Tamandua tetradactyla: one gene and its partner. The protein of the gene in region 2 interacts with the protein of the main gene of each other region in a pairwise test. Links are inferred from orthologs where the notes say so. Each region holds a gene or a part of one and is shown on either strand. Other genes may lie near its edges.

What was found. The genes of interacting proteins can lie anywhere in the genome.
Region 1: the proteins of TASOR2 (region 2) and KLHL40 interact in binary tests that used the Homo sapiens proteins (3 or more experiments, as listed by UniProt). The two-hybrid records come from large-scale screens. The link is inferred for Tamandua tetradactyla from reciprocal best matches to the Homo sapiens genes TASOR2 and KLHL40.

What each region holds. Positions count from the first base shown.
Region 1 is NC_135341.1:44,615,988-44,623,974, reverse strand, and holds the start of KLHL40 (kelch-like protein 40), read left to right. Parts: upstream 1-4,840; 5' UTR 4,841-4,902; coding exon 4,903-6,072; intron 6,073-7,418; coding exon 7,419-7,579; intron 7,580-7,946; coding exon 7,947-7,987. UniProt on the Homo sapiens protein: Substrate-specific adapter of a BCR (BTB-CUL3-RBX1) E3 ubiquitin ligase complex that acts as a key regulator of skeletal muscle development.
Region 2 is NC_135333.1:58,364,811-58,373,013, reverse strand, and holds the start of TASOR2 (protein TASOR 2), read left to right. Parts: upstream 1-4,811; 5' UTR 4,812-4,926; coding exon 4,927-4,931; intron 4,932-6,189; exon of another isoform or gene 6,190-6,968; intron 6,969-8,203.

The DNA of each region.
Region 1 (7,987 bases), on a different chromosome or scaffold from region 2:
CTAGGAGGCGTGCCTGCTGCAATGAAGGACATTTGACTTAATTGGTTGGTGCTTAGATGAGAGACCGCAATGTAGCACAGCCTAAGCAGCTCAGCATTCCTCATCTCAGCACTCGCAGCTCAGCTCAGGCCTTTGGAGATGCAGAAAGAAATCACCCCGGGGAAAGTTGCTGGAACACAGAGGCCTGGAGAGAAGGTCAGCAGAGATCACCCTGTGCCTTCTCACATAAGAAAGAACCTCAGTGGAAAGTTAGCTGCCTTTCCTCTGAAGAACTAACAAAATAAATCCCCTTTTATTAAAAGCCAATCCATTTCTGGTGTGTTGCATTCTGGCAGCTAGCAAACTAGAACAGGATAACCTCTCAACTCTGTTTGAAATCTCTTAGTCACTGAAACTTTATTTTGTCTCATTTCTCTCTTCCCCCTTTTGGACAAGAAGGTTTTCTCAATCCCTTCATGAGAAAACCCTCCCTCATCCCTGGGAGTCATGTCCCACATTGGCAGGGAGATTTACACCCCTGGGAGTCATGTTCCACATGAGGGGGACGACAATGAGTTCACCTGCTGAGTTGACTGAGGAGGGAGTGGCCACATCTGAGCAACAAAGAGGTTCTCTGTGGGTGACTCAGGCATAATTATAAGTAATCTGAGCATCTCCTTTGCAAGAATAAGTTTCTTAGGGGTGAGCCCCAAGATCAAGGGCTCAGCCTATTGAATGGGTTCTCCCCACTGCTTATGAGAATATCAGGAACTCCCCATATGGAGTTGAATATTTCCTCTTTTCTCCCTAGTCCCCCATGGGGACTTTACAAATACTTTTTTATTCTCTGCCCAAATTACTCTGGGATGTATCAGGGCATCACACTAACCTGTACAAACCAACAAGATCTCACACCCCATTCAAGATTCCTTATAATTATGGTGTTTGAATAAATGAACCATACAAGTTAAATTAGATAATGCACCACCAAAAATATAAATTTTGCACCAAATAGACATCTCTTTCTTTGGTCATTGGCCTTTTTAAGAGATGAAATATAGAGAGGCTGAGAAAGAAAACCAAACAAGCTGGGAGAGAAGGGCACACAGAAACCATAGGGAAATCACAGAAACAGAGAGAAAGCCACTGAAGACAGAAGCTGGAAGCAATGAAACCAGGAAGAGAAGGAAAAGACCAGGAGACTGTCACCATGTACCTTGCTATGTGACAGAGGAGTCCTAGATCACCAGTAGCCAGTCTATGGGGAGAAAGTATTGCCTGTTGATGCCTTGATTTGGACATTTTTCATGGCCTCAGAACTGTAAACTTATATTACTAAATCTCCATTGTAAAAGCCAGCACACTTTTGGTATATTGCATTTTGTCAGCTTTCGCAAACTAAAACAATGAGTGATCCAGTTTCTCCACATCCTCACCAGTATATAGTGTTGTCACCTTTTTTAAGTCATTCTGATAGGTCTTTTAGTGATATCACATTGCAGTTTTAATTTGCATTTCCCTGATGGCTCCTGATGTTGAGTTTTGTTTAATGTGTTATTTATCATACATATGTCCTGGTCAGTGAAATACCTATTCTTGCCTTTTGTCCATTTTCTAATTAGATTTTATTTTGAGGTTTGAGTGTTCCTTGTATGTTCTATAGTCCTTTGTCAGATATATGATTTGCAAATATTTTCTCCCAGTCTGTAGCTTGTCTTTTCACCTTCTTCACATGGTCTTTTGCAGAGCAAAAGTTTTTAATTTTGATGAGGTTCGATTGAACAGTTTTTCCTTTTGTGGATTGTGGTAGTTAGACTCAGGTGTCAACTTGGCCAGGTGAAGGTACCTAGTTCTATTGCTGTGGACATGAGCCAATGGCATGTGAACCTCAACTGTGGCTGATTACATCTTCAGTCGGCTAGGAGATGTGCCTGCTGCAATGAATGATGTTTGATTTAATTGGCTGTATGCTTAAATGAGAGCTCAAGGTAGCACAGCCCAAGCAGCTCAGCATACCTCATCTCAGCACTCGCAGCTCAGCTCAGGCCTTTGGAGATGCAGAAAGGAATCACTGCGGGGAAAGTTGTTGGAACCCAGAGGCCTGGAGAGAAGGCCAGCAGAGATCATCCTGTGCCTTCCCGTATAAAAAAGAACCTCAGTTGAAAGTTGGCTGCCTTTCCTCTGAAGAACTATATGTTTTTAATGAAATAAATCCCCTTTTATTAAAAGCCAACCCATCTCTGGTGTGTTGCATTCTGGCAGCTAGCAAAATAGAACATGGATTGTGCTTTAAGTCCAAGAACCCTTGGCCTGGCCCTATACACTGAAGATTGCTTATGTTTTTTCAAAAAGTTTTATAATTATGTTTACAATTTAAATTCATGATCCATTTTGTATAAGTTCTGACATTCAAGTTGAGGTTCTTCTCTTTCTCCTTTTTTGCCTATGGATTTCCAATTTCTCCAGCACCATTTGCTGAAAAAACTACCCTTCCTCTGTTAAATTGCCATTTCTGGGTTTACTATTCTATTCCATTGGATCTATTTATTTATCCCTCTGCCAAAACAATACTGCTTGACTCCTGAAGCTATACAGTGAGGCCTTAACATATTACATAGAAGGATTCCTCCCACTTCATTCTTTTTTGTCATGGCCATATGATCCTCACATCGCAGCCTCACTTCTCTGCCCTCATCTCCTCTGACTCATCTCCTCATGCACTGTTCCACCCTTGCTAGTCTCCTGGCCATTCCTAGAACATGCCAGGAATTCTCCTGCCACACTTTGCTCGAGCTGCCCCTCTGCCTGGAATCCTTCTCCCCCATAGTTTAAACTGCTCAAATGTAACCTTTTCAGGGAGTCCTTCTTGACAATTCCATTTAAAATTGTTACCACCTCCACCTAACACTTTCCATGTCCCCACCCTGCTTTACTTGTTTCCACATCAACACCTGATGTCCTATAAAACTATTTATTTGTGCCCCATCTCTCCCCCTTCTTCAAGGATGTTAGCTTCATGAAGCCAGGAAGTCCTGTCTGATTTGTTCACTGCCGAGTCCCCAGCATTTAGAAGAGTGCATACAATAGGTTCTTGATGAATGAACGAGCAACATATAAATATTCTAGTGGAGTGTCTGGTAGGGAGTGAGCACTATGGAATTCATCATCATATAAAAATACCTCATTGAGTCATTTGATAAAGATAAGTTAATTGTTTAGTCAGTACCTTCTGTCCTGGTCTTTCAAAGTGAGAAAAGATTAATGGACATTTTTGTAAATTCCTGGGACATGGCAAAGTAGGGAGAGAGTCCCACAGTCTTTGGAGGTGCCCAGACCTGTGTCTGATCCTGGCTCAGCCACCTGTCAGCTGTGTGACCTGTACCTGCACTGACAGAGCTTGCTGGCAGTGCCCTGGAGTCTGGGGCCCAGGCAGAGCTGGACTGGAAGCCCAACAACTGCCCTTCCTGAATGAGCCCTTGCCCTTTTGCAAGATGGACAGGACTACCTGCAGGGCCCTCCTAGGTGCTGTGCCCCTCTGGGAGGGTAGATGGTGGCTCCCAGCTCTGCCCAGGTAGGGTGAGTGAGCGATGGTCAGTCCTGCTGCTCCGGAGGGGCAGGAGGTGACACAGGGAGCTGACTCAGTCCTGACCCAGCCCGAGGGCCCCCTTCCCAAACCCACTCCTTTCCCCCTTGGGCTATAAACACATGACTCAGAGGAATGAAGGGAGAGAGCCTACAACAGTCACCTAATGCCCTGGGGGCTAAATTTAACCCACAGCTGCAGCCTCTGGCACTTTGGGTACGAGTTAATCTTGGTGGCCCAGGCTGATAGATGTGTAGGAGGCTGGTGTCAGGAGTCCAGGGCAGGGTGGATAGTGGGACTAGCTATTCTAGGCCCCAACACTGACCCCTCAGATGTAGACAGGACTTGGGGGTCCTGAGGCCAGGCCCAGGACTGACCAAGAGCAACGAGCACGGACAGCTCAAGTCTTGGAATATTAAACTTTAGAGAGTTACTTTTTGAACACGAACATCTAGAATGTTAAAACCAAGGGGGGTTAAAAGTCTAGAATATCAGAATTCTGTGGAAATAATTTTTCTAGTGTGTCTCACACCTTAGAATTTTAAGACCCTGAAACAATGTACTCCCAAGAAAACAACCCCAGAGCTTCTGAACCTTAGCTGAACTAAACAGAGACCCTTAGAGCCTAACTCCTCCAGCTCCTCATTGTGTAGGGGAGGAAACTGAGGCTCAATGGAATGACCTGCCCTGCCCCAGACCCTACAGAAAAGTGGCAACCTTGTTTATCTCAGACACCTTCTTGCTTTCTGGCGCAGTGCAAGGAGGGGCTCAGAGCTGGGGCAGAAAGGGTCAAGTTCTTCCCATTTAAAGATGAGGCCACACCTGCCCCCAAAGGGTGAATAGCATACCCAAGTTGACTCAGCAGGAAAAGAAGGCACACTGTACGTATTCCACTCCACAAGGCCCGAGTGGAAGACACTTGAGAGAGGAAGATGGGCATCCCGGGACGGAAGGCCCAGAGGGCAGGAAGGAAGGGAGATCCCTAAAAAGGGCCCTCTATGCTTCCCTTTCCAAGTGCTGAGGATCCCAGCTTGATCCTATGCCCCATTTAGAAATGAGGCAATGAAGCCCTCATCTTTGAGGGGAGAGCCCAGACACCCCACCCACGTCCCATGAGCCCTGGGGCTTGACTCGAGGCTGTTCCGGGAGGGGGGCCTCTGTCCAGCTGTCTCCTCTGCGTCACCTGTGGGATGTCAGAGGACTCGCCTTACAGGGCTGAGGCCACCTCTATATATAGCCTCAGTAGGACAGCTGCACAGACAAAGCGCGCTGCAGCAGGAGGGCAGGAGAGCACTGACTGGAGTCTCACGGCCTGGTCGCCCCACCGTAGGCCACTCACCATGGCTCTGGGCTTGGAGCAGGCCGAAGAGCAGCGATTGTATCAGCAGACGCTCCTGCAGGAGGGGCTCAAGGACATGCTGGACCACGGCAAGTTCCTCGACTGTGTGGTGCGGACAGGTGAGCGCGAGTTCCCCTGCCACCGCTTGGTGCTGGCTGCCTGCAGCCCCTACTTCCGGGCGCGCTTCCTGGCGGAGCCAGAGAGCGCCGGCGAGCTGCGCCTGGAGGAGGTGTCCCCCGACGTGATGGGCCAGGTGCTGCACTACCTGTACACGTCGGAGATTGCGCTGGATGAGGGGAGCGTGCAGGAGTTGTTCGCCGCGGCGCACCGGTTCCAGATCCCGTCCATCTTCACCATCTGCGTGTCGTTCCTGCAGAAGCGCCTGTGCCTCGCCAACTGCCTGGCGGTCTTCCGCCTGGGACTCATGCTGGACTGCGCGCGCCTCGCGGTGGCCGCCCGCGACTTCATCTGCGCACGCTTCACGCTCGTGGCGCGCGACTCCGACTTCCTCGGACTCTCGGCCGACGAGCTGATCGCCATCATCTCCAGCGACGGCCTCAACGTGGAGAAGGAGGAGGCCGTGTTCGAGGCTGTGATGCGGTGGGCGAGCAGCGGCGACGCCGAGGCGCAGGCGGAGCGCCAGCGCTCGCTCCCCACGGTCTTCGAGAGCGTGCGCTGCCGCCTGCTGCCGCGAGCCTTCCTGGAGAGCCGCGTGGAGCGCCACCCGCTGGTGCGCGCCCAGCCCGAGCTGCTGCGGAAGGTGCAGATGGTGAAGGATGCGCACGAGGGCCGCCTCACCGTGCTGCGTAGGAAGAAGAAAGACAAGGAGAAGGAGAAGGACGCCGCCGGGACCAAGGCGGCGGACAAGGGCAAAACCGAGGCTGAGGCCAAAGAGGAGGCCGAGGAGGAGGCTGAACGCGTCCTACCTGGGATCCTCAATGACACCCTGCGCTTTGGCATGTTCCTGCAGGACCTCATCTTCATGATCAGCGAGGAGGGTGCCGCGGCCTACGACCCTGCTGCCAATGAGTGTTACTGGGCTTCCCTCTCCACCCAGATCCCCAAGAACCATGTCAGCCTTGTGACCAAAGAGAACCAGGTCTTCGTGGCGGGGGGCCTCTTCTACAACGAGGACAACAAGGAGGACCCCATGAGCGCTTACTTCCTGCAGGTGCCTGCGCGAGCCCTGGGACGCGGGGGTGGGCAGCCCGTGCCGGCGTCTGTACGAGGGCAGCTTTGGGGGCCAAGAGGGGCCTATGTCTGCTTTTCAGAGAATAATGCTGGTTTTGGGGTGAGAATGAAGACAAGAGGGCCTGGAAGTTGAGGACAGTTGTATGCAAATGATAACGAGCTACGTAACTTTGTTTTTGTTTTCTGTCTTGGGGGAATGGCAGCCCCAGGATGGTCCAGCATTTGGTAGCCCTGGCCCTGCACATGGGTTGGGGTCAAGCATAATGAAAAGGAGAAGCAGCAGGGCCAGTGCAGGGCTCCTGGGAAGGGTCTCCATGCCCAAGAATGGAGCCTGACACAGAGAATGTGCCAGGCAAAGGGACATCCTGTCTAGTCCTCCCATTATACAAATGGGGAACCTAAGGTCCAGGAAGAACCGGTAAAGTGGGGTGCCCAGTTCAAGTTGAGGTGTGATCATGGTATCCCAGACAGCAGGGATAGTTTCCTGGAGACCTGTCCTGTAGGTTTGAGCCTTGCCATCTGGGCAGAATTTGGATACCTGAAGGGGAGAGTGGTAGTATTTCTCAAGGGAAAATGGTATGAGCAAGAGAGAGAGAGATGGGCAGGAATGGGCCTGGCCTGATTAAGCTCACAGGCCTTACGGTGGGACTGGGGTGGGGGTGGAATCCAATCCCAGCTTCATCCAGTACCAGCCAAGCAGCCTGGGCAGATTATTTTTCTGGGCCTCTGTTTGTAAAATGGGGATAATATTCTTCCTGCCTGATGCAGTTGTTTTGAAGTTTAGATGAAATGTTGTTTGTTTGTAATGCGCTCCGAACAGTGCTCGAGGAGCCACTATTAACTGATTATAAAGCTGTTGAGGTGGACAGGGAGGCAAATTTACCCTGAAGATTTTAAGGGGTGAGTGACAGGGCTGTATTTGGAAGTCTCCTAGTCAGAGGAATAGGGTGGAGGATGTACACAAAAGATAGCCTGTGGCGAGCAGGGGGCAGGGAAGACTCAGTTGTCCTGGAATGGTACTGGGGAAGGGTCCCAGCACTCAGCTCAGTGCCACAGCCCCTCTCCTCGGCTATGCCCCGTGGTGTCCCCATCACAGTGCTATAATGGTGTTCTCCCAGCACCTACCCCATCACATACCCTCCCAGGGTTCTCAGCTGCCCTTAGCCTGGAGGGAGGAGGGGCTCTGCCTCCGGAGCCACCTACAGGCTGTGCTGGCACACCCTGGAGGTCCAGACTTCTCTGTGACCCGGGGTGACTGCCCGGGGACGAGCTGGGGCTGGGGGGCTTGGGGGCAGTGGCTAACTTTCTGGCTGGCCCTGCCGGCAGTTTGACCACCTGGATTCAGAGTGGCTGGGGATGCCGCCGCTGCCCTCGCCGCGCTGCCTCTTCGGCCTGGGAGAGGCTCTCAACTCCATCTACGTGGTCGGTGGCCGAGAGCTCAAGGACGGCGAGCGCAGCCTGGACTCGGTCCTGTGCTACGACCGGCTGTGAGCGCGGGCGGGGCGGGCTGGGGGCGGGGCCAGGGCCGGGCTGGGAAGCGGGTCGAGAGGTTGAGGGCGGAGCTAAGAATCCCGGCTGGGAGCCTGGGGAGCCTGGAGACCCGGGACTGGTTGGGGACCGTAGGGTGGCGGCCTGGGGAGTTAGCAGGCAGAGTCTGGGGGCAGAGGCGTGGTTGGGTAGGGGCGGCGCCATGGCCACGGTTGGGGGGCTGGGCCGAGAACTGAGCAGTCCGAGAAGTTCCTGTAAAGCATCTGGTGCACCTGGAATAGGTGTTGGGTGGGTGGGCGGTTGGAGGGAGAGGGACTGAGCGCGCAGCCTGAGCCGGACGCCCGCCCTCCCTCTCGTCCCCTCCAGGTCGTTCAAATGGGGCGAGTCGGACCCGCTGCCTTATTCTG
Region 2 (8,203 bases):
TCGTCTATTTCTTTGTTTGTGGGTTGTTGTTTTTTTTTTTCATTTATTAAACTTTTTATTTTGAGATAAATATTTACCTGCAGTTGTATAGGTAGATGTATCTTTTAAATAGCATCTGTTGGAATTTTTAAAAAAGCAATTTAAAAATATTTTCTTTTATCTGTAAGTAACACTATTGACAGACAGTTAATGCAACTGCTCTGATTTTGTGCTGTTCTGGCTGTCCTTTATTTCTTTTCTCTTCTTTCTTGCTACTTTTCATATTGATATGATCTTTCGGCATTGTTTTTCCTATCTACTAGTTTAGAAGTTATATACTTTCTTTTCGTGATTGTACTAGAAAGAATACATGTTTGACTTTTCAAAACCTAAAGTTAAGCAATATTTTAACCTTCCTCTCGCACAATACAAGAACCTTAGACCGTTAACTTCATTTAATCCTGTCATGATTTACATGTTATTGTTATCAGTCCTTGTTTACATTTCCCACATTTTTACTACTTTCTCCATTCTTCATTGCTTCTTTAATCTTAGGCATATTTTCCTTCTGCTTAAAGTACATCCTTTGGAATGGCTTTTATTGAAGATCTGATGATGTTAAACTCGGTTTCTATTGACCTGAAAATGTCGTTATATCACTTTCGTTTCTGGAAAATGTTTTTGCTGAGTATGAAAGGTTAGGTTAGCAGTTATTTTCTTTTAACACATTGACGAGAATCACTCCTTTGTCATCTGGCTTGCATTATTCCTATATGAAGTCAGCTATCAGACTGTCAATTCCTTTTTCTCTGGCTGCTTTTAATATTTGTCTTCAACTTCCTGCTGTTTCACTGTGACATCTATTTATCTTGCTTAGGATTGTTAGAATTCTTAAATCTGTAGATAGGAGGTGTTTTAAATGTGTTAATTGATCATTTATAATTTCTGAACTGTGAATTTCCATTTTTACATTCTATTTACCTATGTCTGGGACATATTTTCAGTTTTCACTGAATAAGATTTTTTCCCCCCCAGCATGGGCAGGCACTGGGAATTGAACCCGGGTCTCTGACATGGCAGGCGAGAACTCTGCCACTGTGCCACCATCGCCCACCCTCCCCTAATAAGATTTTGATTAACAGTTAATTGGGGAACTAAATCCCTGGCTAATATTCTGTATAAAGACTTATTACTCTCCTTGGCATGGTAATGTAGACCTTTTTTAAACATTTGATGTACATGCACTCTGAGGCCTAGTCTGGCCAGTGGAGGTACCTGCTTCACTCTGTGGTTATCTCCCATTTCTCTCTGAGTCCATTCTCATGAACATTTGGAGTAGGATATATCTAGCCATGATGGCAATTTAAGAAAACACCTTTCTTCTGGCATGGATCAGATGTCATACTCTCTTTTGTCATATGTAATAATCAAGAGAACCCAAAGGAGGGACTTAAAACATAATTGCACCTAAGAGAAATTAATTTCTTGGATTTTCTTATAAGATGGACAAAACTATGTAACACTATCCTAATTATAAGTACAGTAATGAGTATGATGTAACCATTTCAGTGCAGGATGCTAGTTTAATGCTTTAAGCACAAATTATTAAACCCAGTTTGATGAAAAGTAACCATAATAGTCAATTACTTTACACACAGTAGTTCTAATATAAAAAGTCAAAAGTGCATAATTTTAAGTATAAGAAAATATGTTCTCCAAGGACTCTGTTGACCTTTTACACAGTATAGCAAGAGAGAAAACAAAATTAGATAGGTGTAAGATTATAAACATGTTTGATACACACAAATACTTTTTACAGTCAGATTAGATATTGCAAATATTAAACAATCTTCAAAAAAATGATTATTAGATCCAAAAGAAAGCAAGCCACAGTTAAATGAAAAAGTTTTAATAAATAGGTAGAACTTATTTTATTTTTGTATTTTAAAAATATTTTTATTTTTGGTTATATATAATGTTAAAATTCCCATTTTAACCACTTCAGATGTACAACTCAGTGGCATTAATTTTATTCACAATGTTGTGTTACCATCAGCACCATCCATTACCAAGACCTTTTCATCACCTCCAACCGAAACTCTACCCACTAAGCAGTAACTTCCTATCCTCCCTCACTATTGGTAACCTGTAACAACTGTCTGTATAAATTTGCATGTTCTAGATATTTCATGTGAGTGAAATTATATGTAATTTATCCTTTTGTGTTTGACTTGTTTTACTCAACATGATGTATTCACATGTATCAGAACTTCATTCCTTTTTTATGGCTGAATTATATTCCATTGTGTATATATACCACATTTTGTTGATTCATTCATCTATTGATGGACATTTAGGTTGCTTCCAACTTTTGGCAGTTGTAATAATGCTGCTATAAACATTGGTATGCAAATATTTGAGTCCTTGCTTTAAGTTCTTTTGGATATATACCTAGACATGGGATTGCCAGGTCATATGGTAATTCTATACTGAACTTTCAGAGGTACCACCATAAAATATTGTTAGTTTCTGGCTGCCGCTTTCTTCTCTCAGCGAAGTCATACATGGGAAAAATCAACTCTGTGTAAGTCTAGGTAGTCAGTAAGCAGAGATAGACGGGAGTGGGAATACAGCTTTGCAAAGGAAGATGCTTTCTTCAGTATACTATGTCAGGTTATAAAGACCAACTGCTTCTGTACCTCAGACTGGTTCCAGTCTTAGCAGGAGTCATGCCTGGTCATTCAGAGTCAGCAAGGATGGAGAATGTTATCCTTTCGCCCAAGTCCAGTACTTTCTCCAGTTTCACAGTGGCTGCCATTTTCTTGAAATAGAAGGGGCTAGTGTAGCTCAAACCAGTAAATGAAAGACTAGAGTTGTTTTGCATCAATACTATAACAAGGCACAATTTTCAGCTGTTTACTCTCAGTGGAATGGTCTGGAAGCTCACTAAATTGAATTAATTATATTGCCAGAGAAACTACATGCCTGGTATTAGGGATTGAATTGTGTCCCCCAAAAAAAGATAGGTTCAAGTCCTAATCCCCAGTCTTGTGAATGTGATCCTGTCTGGAAATAGGATCTTTGAAAGATGATACTAGTTAAAATGAGGCCAAACTGGATTAGAATGGGTTCTATTCCAATGTGACTGGATGACTAGGTCTTTATAAGGAAAGGAAGTTTGGACACCATTGGTAGGAAACAGAAAAGAGCCACGTAATGGAGGAGCAGTTATGTTATGGATTTCTGGCAAGTCACCATCAGAACCCTGCAGATATCAGAGGGAGCATGGTCCCACTAACACCTTGATTTGGACTTCTAGATTCCTCAGCAGAGGAAGCATCATGCTCTCCTCCTGAGTCCCCACAATTGGTTAGGGAGCTCCCTTCCCACTACTTGATTAGGGAGCTTTTCTCTCTGTTCATCAGCCATGACCCAGCTTCACCCTGAGAAGTCACACCCTGTACAGGGATCCAGGCATGGTGTCTGACCTCTGTCCTCAGGTTAGCACATTACTCCAGGGCCTGGACTACCTGGCCTCTCAGGCTGGAGTCTCTGGAGCAGGTAGTAATGGGAGAGGGAGAAGGATGGAGGCAGGAAGGGAGGGAGAGGACATGGCCATGGCAATAAAGGCTGGGCAAGTTAGGGGAGGCGGGAGCATCTGGGTAGCAGCACTGGTTTAACCAGGGCGCTGTCTGGGTATAACTTTTTTTTTGTATGCTGGGTGGTGGGGTCATGTTTCATTATTTTTTCCTTCTGAGTATCCCCTTATTGTAGGACCATTTGTTGAATTTTTTTGTTTGTGTTGCTTGCTTGCTTGTTTTTTGGGAAGTGCATGGACCAGAAATCGACCTCGGGTTCCCTCATGGCAGGTGAGAATTCTGCCACTGAACTACACTTGTATCCCTGGGTATAACTCATTTTTAAAAAATAGCATCCCAAATTTCTCTGTCATTGGATATACTAAAAACTCCGTTTGCTACTTTAAATAGACAATAACCTACTTAATTCTTTAAGAACTTTGCTTTGTGTGTTAAGATTTTCCTGTTTTCTATATATACAGCACAATAGCAGTAACCTCTGAAATCTAGGTGGTTTTCCTCTAACAATGCAGATACGATGCAGAAAATGTATCTTGGTTAACTTAGGTTACGTGATTAAAACATAATGTTAATGAGTCCAAAGTAAAGGTGTCCTTAAATTGGACCAAGATGCTTCATCTTGGGGAATGAGGATTCGATTTGGGGGGGGGGGGGAGGGATAAATTTCGTAGTTGTTGGGGCTGCATGACAGTGGAAGGATGGGAACCCAAACCCTATCCCATGTGCTGGTACCAGCATCTCCTGGAGTTAAGGGAAATATTAAAAGACATATTCAATAAGCCTTTTATTTTTGAAAATAAAAAAAACTGAAATAGAGTCATATGAAGCCATGTCGGGCGAGGCTACATCAACGATAATGAAACAGTTTTCTAGGAACGAGTTAGAATAAATTGGGGGTCACCATAGTGAAAAGAACATGGGTTTGGGGTTAGGCCAGGTATTTGGAATCTGGTATCATACCGGGAGCTTGCAGGCAAGATGCTTAAGGAAATTGAAGCTTAGGAATGCTAATTGTCAAATAAAAATCAAATTACCCACCTAGTCAGGTTATCGTGAGACTTAAAAGAAACAAAGGGCCAAAGACACTTTGCTTCCTTCTCAAATCCTATATGAGAGGAGCGTAACTGAAAGTCCAGCCTTGGTTTTCTGCCGCCGCGGAGTCTGCAGGGAGCGTTGCGTACTACCTCTCGTGGAGCGGGGCCGCCTCCTGGCATGTTTACTTTCAAAAGGCACCGCCCGCTGCCTGGGCGTCACACGCGCCGCCCCTCGCTGCAGCCGCTGGCCTTCGCGGAGGCGGAAGGGGGCGGGCTGGCCGCTCTGCACAGGCAGAGCCCGCCCCCCACGCATCATGAGGTAAAGAAAGGAGGGGCTGACCCGGGAGGGGGCCGCCCACTTTGGGGGGTGGGCAATGTGGTCTTTGATAAGAATAGAATCCAGACCCAGCTCCTGCCTCTGTGACTGTTATTTGTGGGACACTCTTAGACACCTGCTACTTGGGGCTGTTTGACCTGACTACAAGCTGACACTTCTATGGAGGTGGCTTGTCTCAACAACACTGAGTAGGAAGGAAATTGGAAGAAATAGAAAGAAGCCATAGAGTTTCCTACCTTAAGGTCAGGGTGTATAGAGTGAAAGCTTTGGTAGGGCAAAGTCTGTCCGTGCTGCTGAGGCCAGGTAATGACCGCAGGTTTTTTAATGGTATTTCAGCGTTTACAAAGCTCCTTTCCTTTCATTACTCATTGAGTCATCAGATAAGTTAAGTGAAACTATGGTAGTAGTGAAACTTGCAGAACTGCTGGAGAAAGAGTGTTACTTATTACCACTTTGTTTTTTGTGTGTTGACAGAATATTTTAGGTCATGTTTTGAAATGAAAAACAGTGACTGCAAATAGGTTTTTTACTTCAAATAATAGTACCTTCATTTTTATATCATTTGTGTATGATTATCATGACTTTGAAACACATTTAAACTTGTATACATGGCAAAACACATGGAGTTTTAAATTTCTGAGAAAACATTCTGTAGATTTTTTTGTTTGTTTTTTTACTAGGGATGCTTGGCTTTATAGGTCTCTGTATTATTATTTTCATTCATGGGAAATACTATTCCTATTTCTTCCTCTACTTTTTCTTCAAAATGAAAATAGCTTTATTCCCCCAGATTATATTTATGCCTACTTAAAATTTCACATCATACGTAAAGTTGTAAAAAAAAAAAAAAAAAGCAGAAATTATCTACAGTTCCCCCACCCCAAGATAACTTTGTTGAATATCTACTGTGGTACTAGAAGCTCTTCTGGACTTGGGGAATGGTGAACAAGACAAACACAACATCGGTTCTCTGGCCCCTGCTTTCTGGTGGGGAATACAGACACGCACACCAACAGACACACACCTTCTAAAAAAGTAAATTGACAAAAATAATTGTCAATTTTAAAGACTGCTTTAGAAGAAACACCTGGGAGCATTGCGTGAGGTCACCAGCTTCTAGTTCCACAGCCAGCCAGGTCAGCAGGCATGAGAAAGTACAGTGTTGGACTTAAAGCAAAGACCCTGCACCCTGGAAAGAAGAAGCATGACAATCCCTAGCCAGGGCCTTCTCTCAGTGAATATGGTGAGACTGGAGCTGTTGCTTGACTCCAGCTCTGGGTGGTCCTGCCCATTGTTATCATCGTCTTCTTCTAGGGTTTGATCCACCAGTACGAATCCATTCTTCTGCAGAGTGACAAGAAACTTACCAAGAAGCAAGTGTCTGATAGTCAAGTCCTAATTCGAAGATGAGTCCTCAGGGAAAATGGAAAATACATTTACAAACAGTCCTTACACAAAAATGTTACTTCAACAATCCAGAGGATGTATTTTTCAAAAAAATTAAAAGGAAGATAGTGCCACCTTCTCCTATGACTGATTCTACTATGCTCACAGACACAGTGAAAGGGAATGTAACCAATGTTATCCCTATGATTCTTATTGCTGGGTAGATCAATATGACATTCTCAGGTTTTGTCTCAACCAAGGTACCATTTCCACTAATCCTCCATTTTGAGCCTATGCTACAGCAAGGAATCAAACTACTCATATTAGATATACCCTGGGTGAGTTCTGCATCCTGGTACTTTTCAATGTATTTGTCCTTCTGAGCATTTACTCTGTGATAATGGGCCAAGGTAATGCCACTGACCAGTCACAGATGATGCATGAAACAGTCATGCTTGCTGACCGTAACAAAGTTTTCAAGACACAGTGGAAGCTTTGGAGCTGACAGATAATCCGTGGGTACTGGATGATGTCGAAGAGGAGCTCATGGCCAAAGACTTCCACTTTGAAGGCATGTTCAAAAAGGAATAACAGACCTGTATTATTATTTTTTTTAAACAAAGCAGGAATTAGCCTTACCAGGAACTCAGAATAGAGTTAACCTTGTAATTTTTGTTTGGGCTGGGTGCCCTCACAATAAAAGGAAGGATGCATGAGCTGGCCTCCGGCAGCAAGTATCATTCTTGTCTGAGTTGGATTCCCCTTTAATGTTTGAAGCTAGTGGAAAGAGCTATTTAAAAAACATTTTAAAGTTTCCTTCTTATGACTCTGGTAATGAAAGTCAGGGAAAGGAAGGAAACGCAAGCTAGTGATAATATATGAAAACTTAGCAAAGATTAAATCTTTGGAGAAAGCGTTGTCAAGTCTAATTATTTTGTGTGGTCATCCTGACTTCTAGCCACAGTAAACTCCTATTTTCTTGGGATACAAGCACCCTGCATTTATACTTTTAATTTTTTATGTTGGTATTTTTGAACTTCCTGTAGAAAAGAAGTATATTTTCTACTACCAAACATTTGGTATTGGAGAAAGAGCATTCCAGTCAGAAATAATGGTGTGTACTAAGCCCTTAGCACAGGAAAGACCTTGAAATTGAAAGATCAGTGTATCTGGAACTTTGGCAGTAAGTCTGGGAAAGGTGGAGCAAGATGAAGTGTAGGAGATAAGCAGGGGACCAGCTTATACATGTCTCGAAGGAGTGTGGATTATATTGTAAAGTGCAACAACAAGCTACTGAATTTTTTTTTAATTATTTTATCTATATTACATATTCACATACCAAATAATCATCCAGAGTGTACAATCAGTGGTTCACAGTATCATATAGCTATGCATTCATCATCACAATAGATTTTTGAATGTTTTATTACTCAAAAAAAATAAAAATAAAAGTAAAAGAACACCCAGCGCATCCACACCCCCATGCCCCCCCTATTGTTTATTTGTTTTTTATCTTTTTTTTTTTCTTATTCTTATGTCCGTACACTGGATAAAGGGAGTATCAGTCACAAGGTTTTCAGAACCACACAGACACATCTTAAAAGCTCATCTTCAAGAGTCAGGGCTATTTATTAGATTACAGTTCAACAATTCAGGTAATTCCCTCTAGCTACTCCAATACACCAACAATTGAAAAGGGATATCTATATATTGCATAAGAGTAACCTTCAAAATGAACTCTCAACTCTAAAATCTCTCAGCCAACACTGAAGTAGAGAAGTGAAGTGATCTGAAAAAGTAATTGATTCATCAAATTTTTTTCACTTCTACCTCTTTATTTAAAGTTCATAAAGTTACAGTTGTAAAAT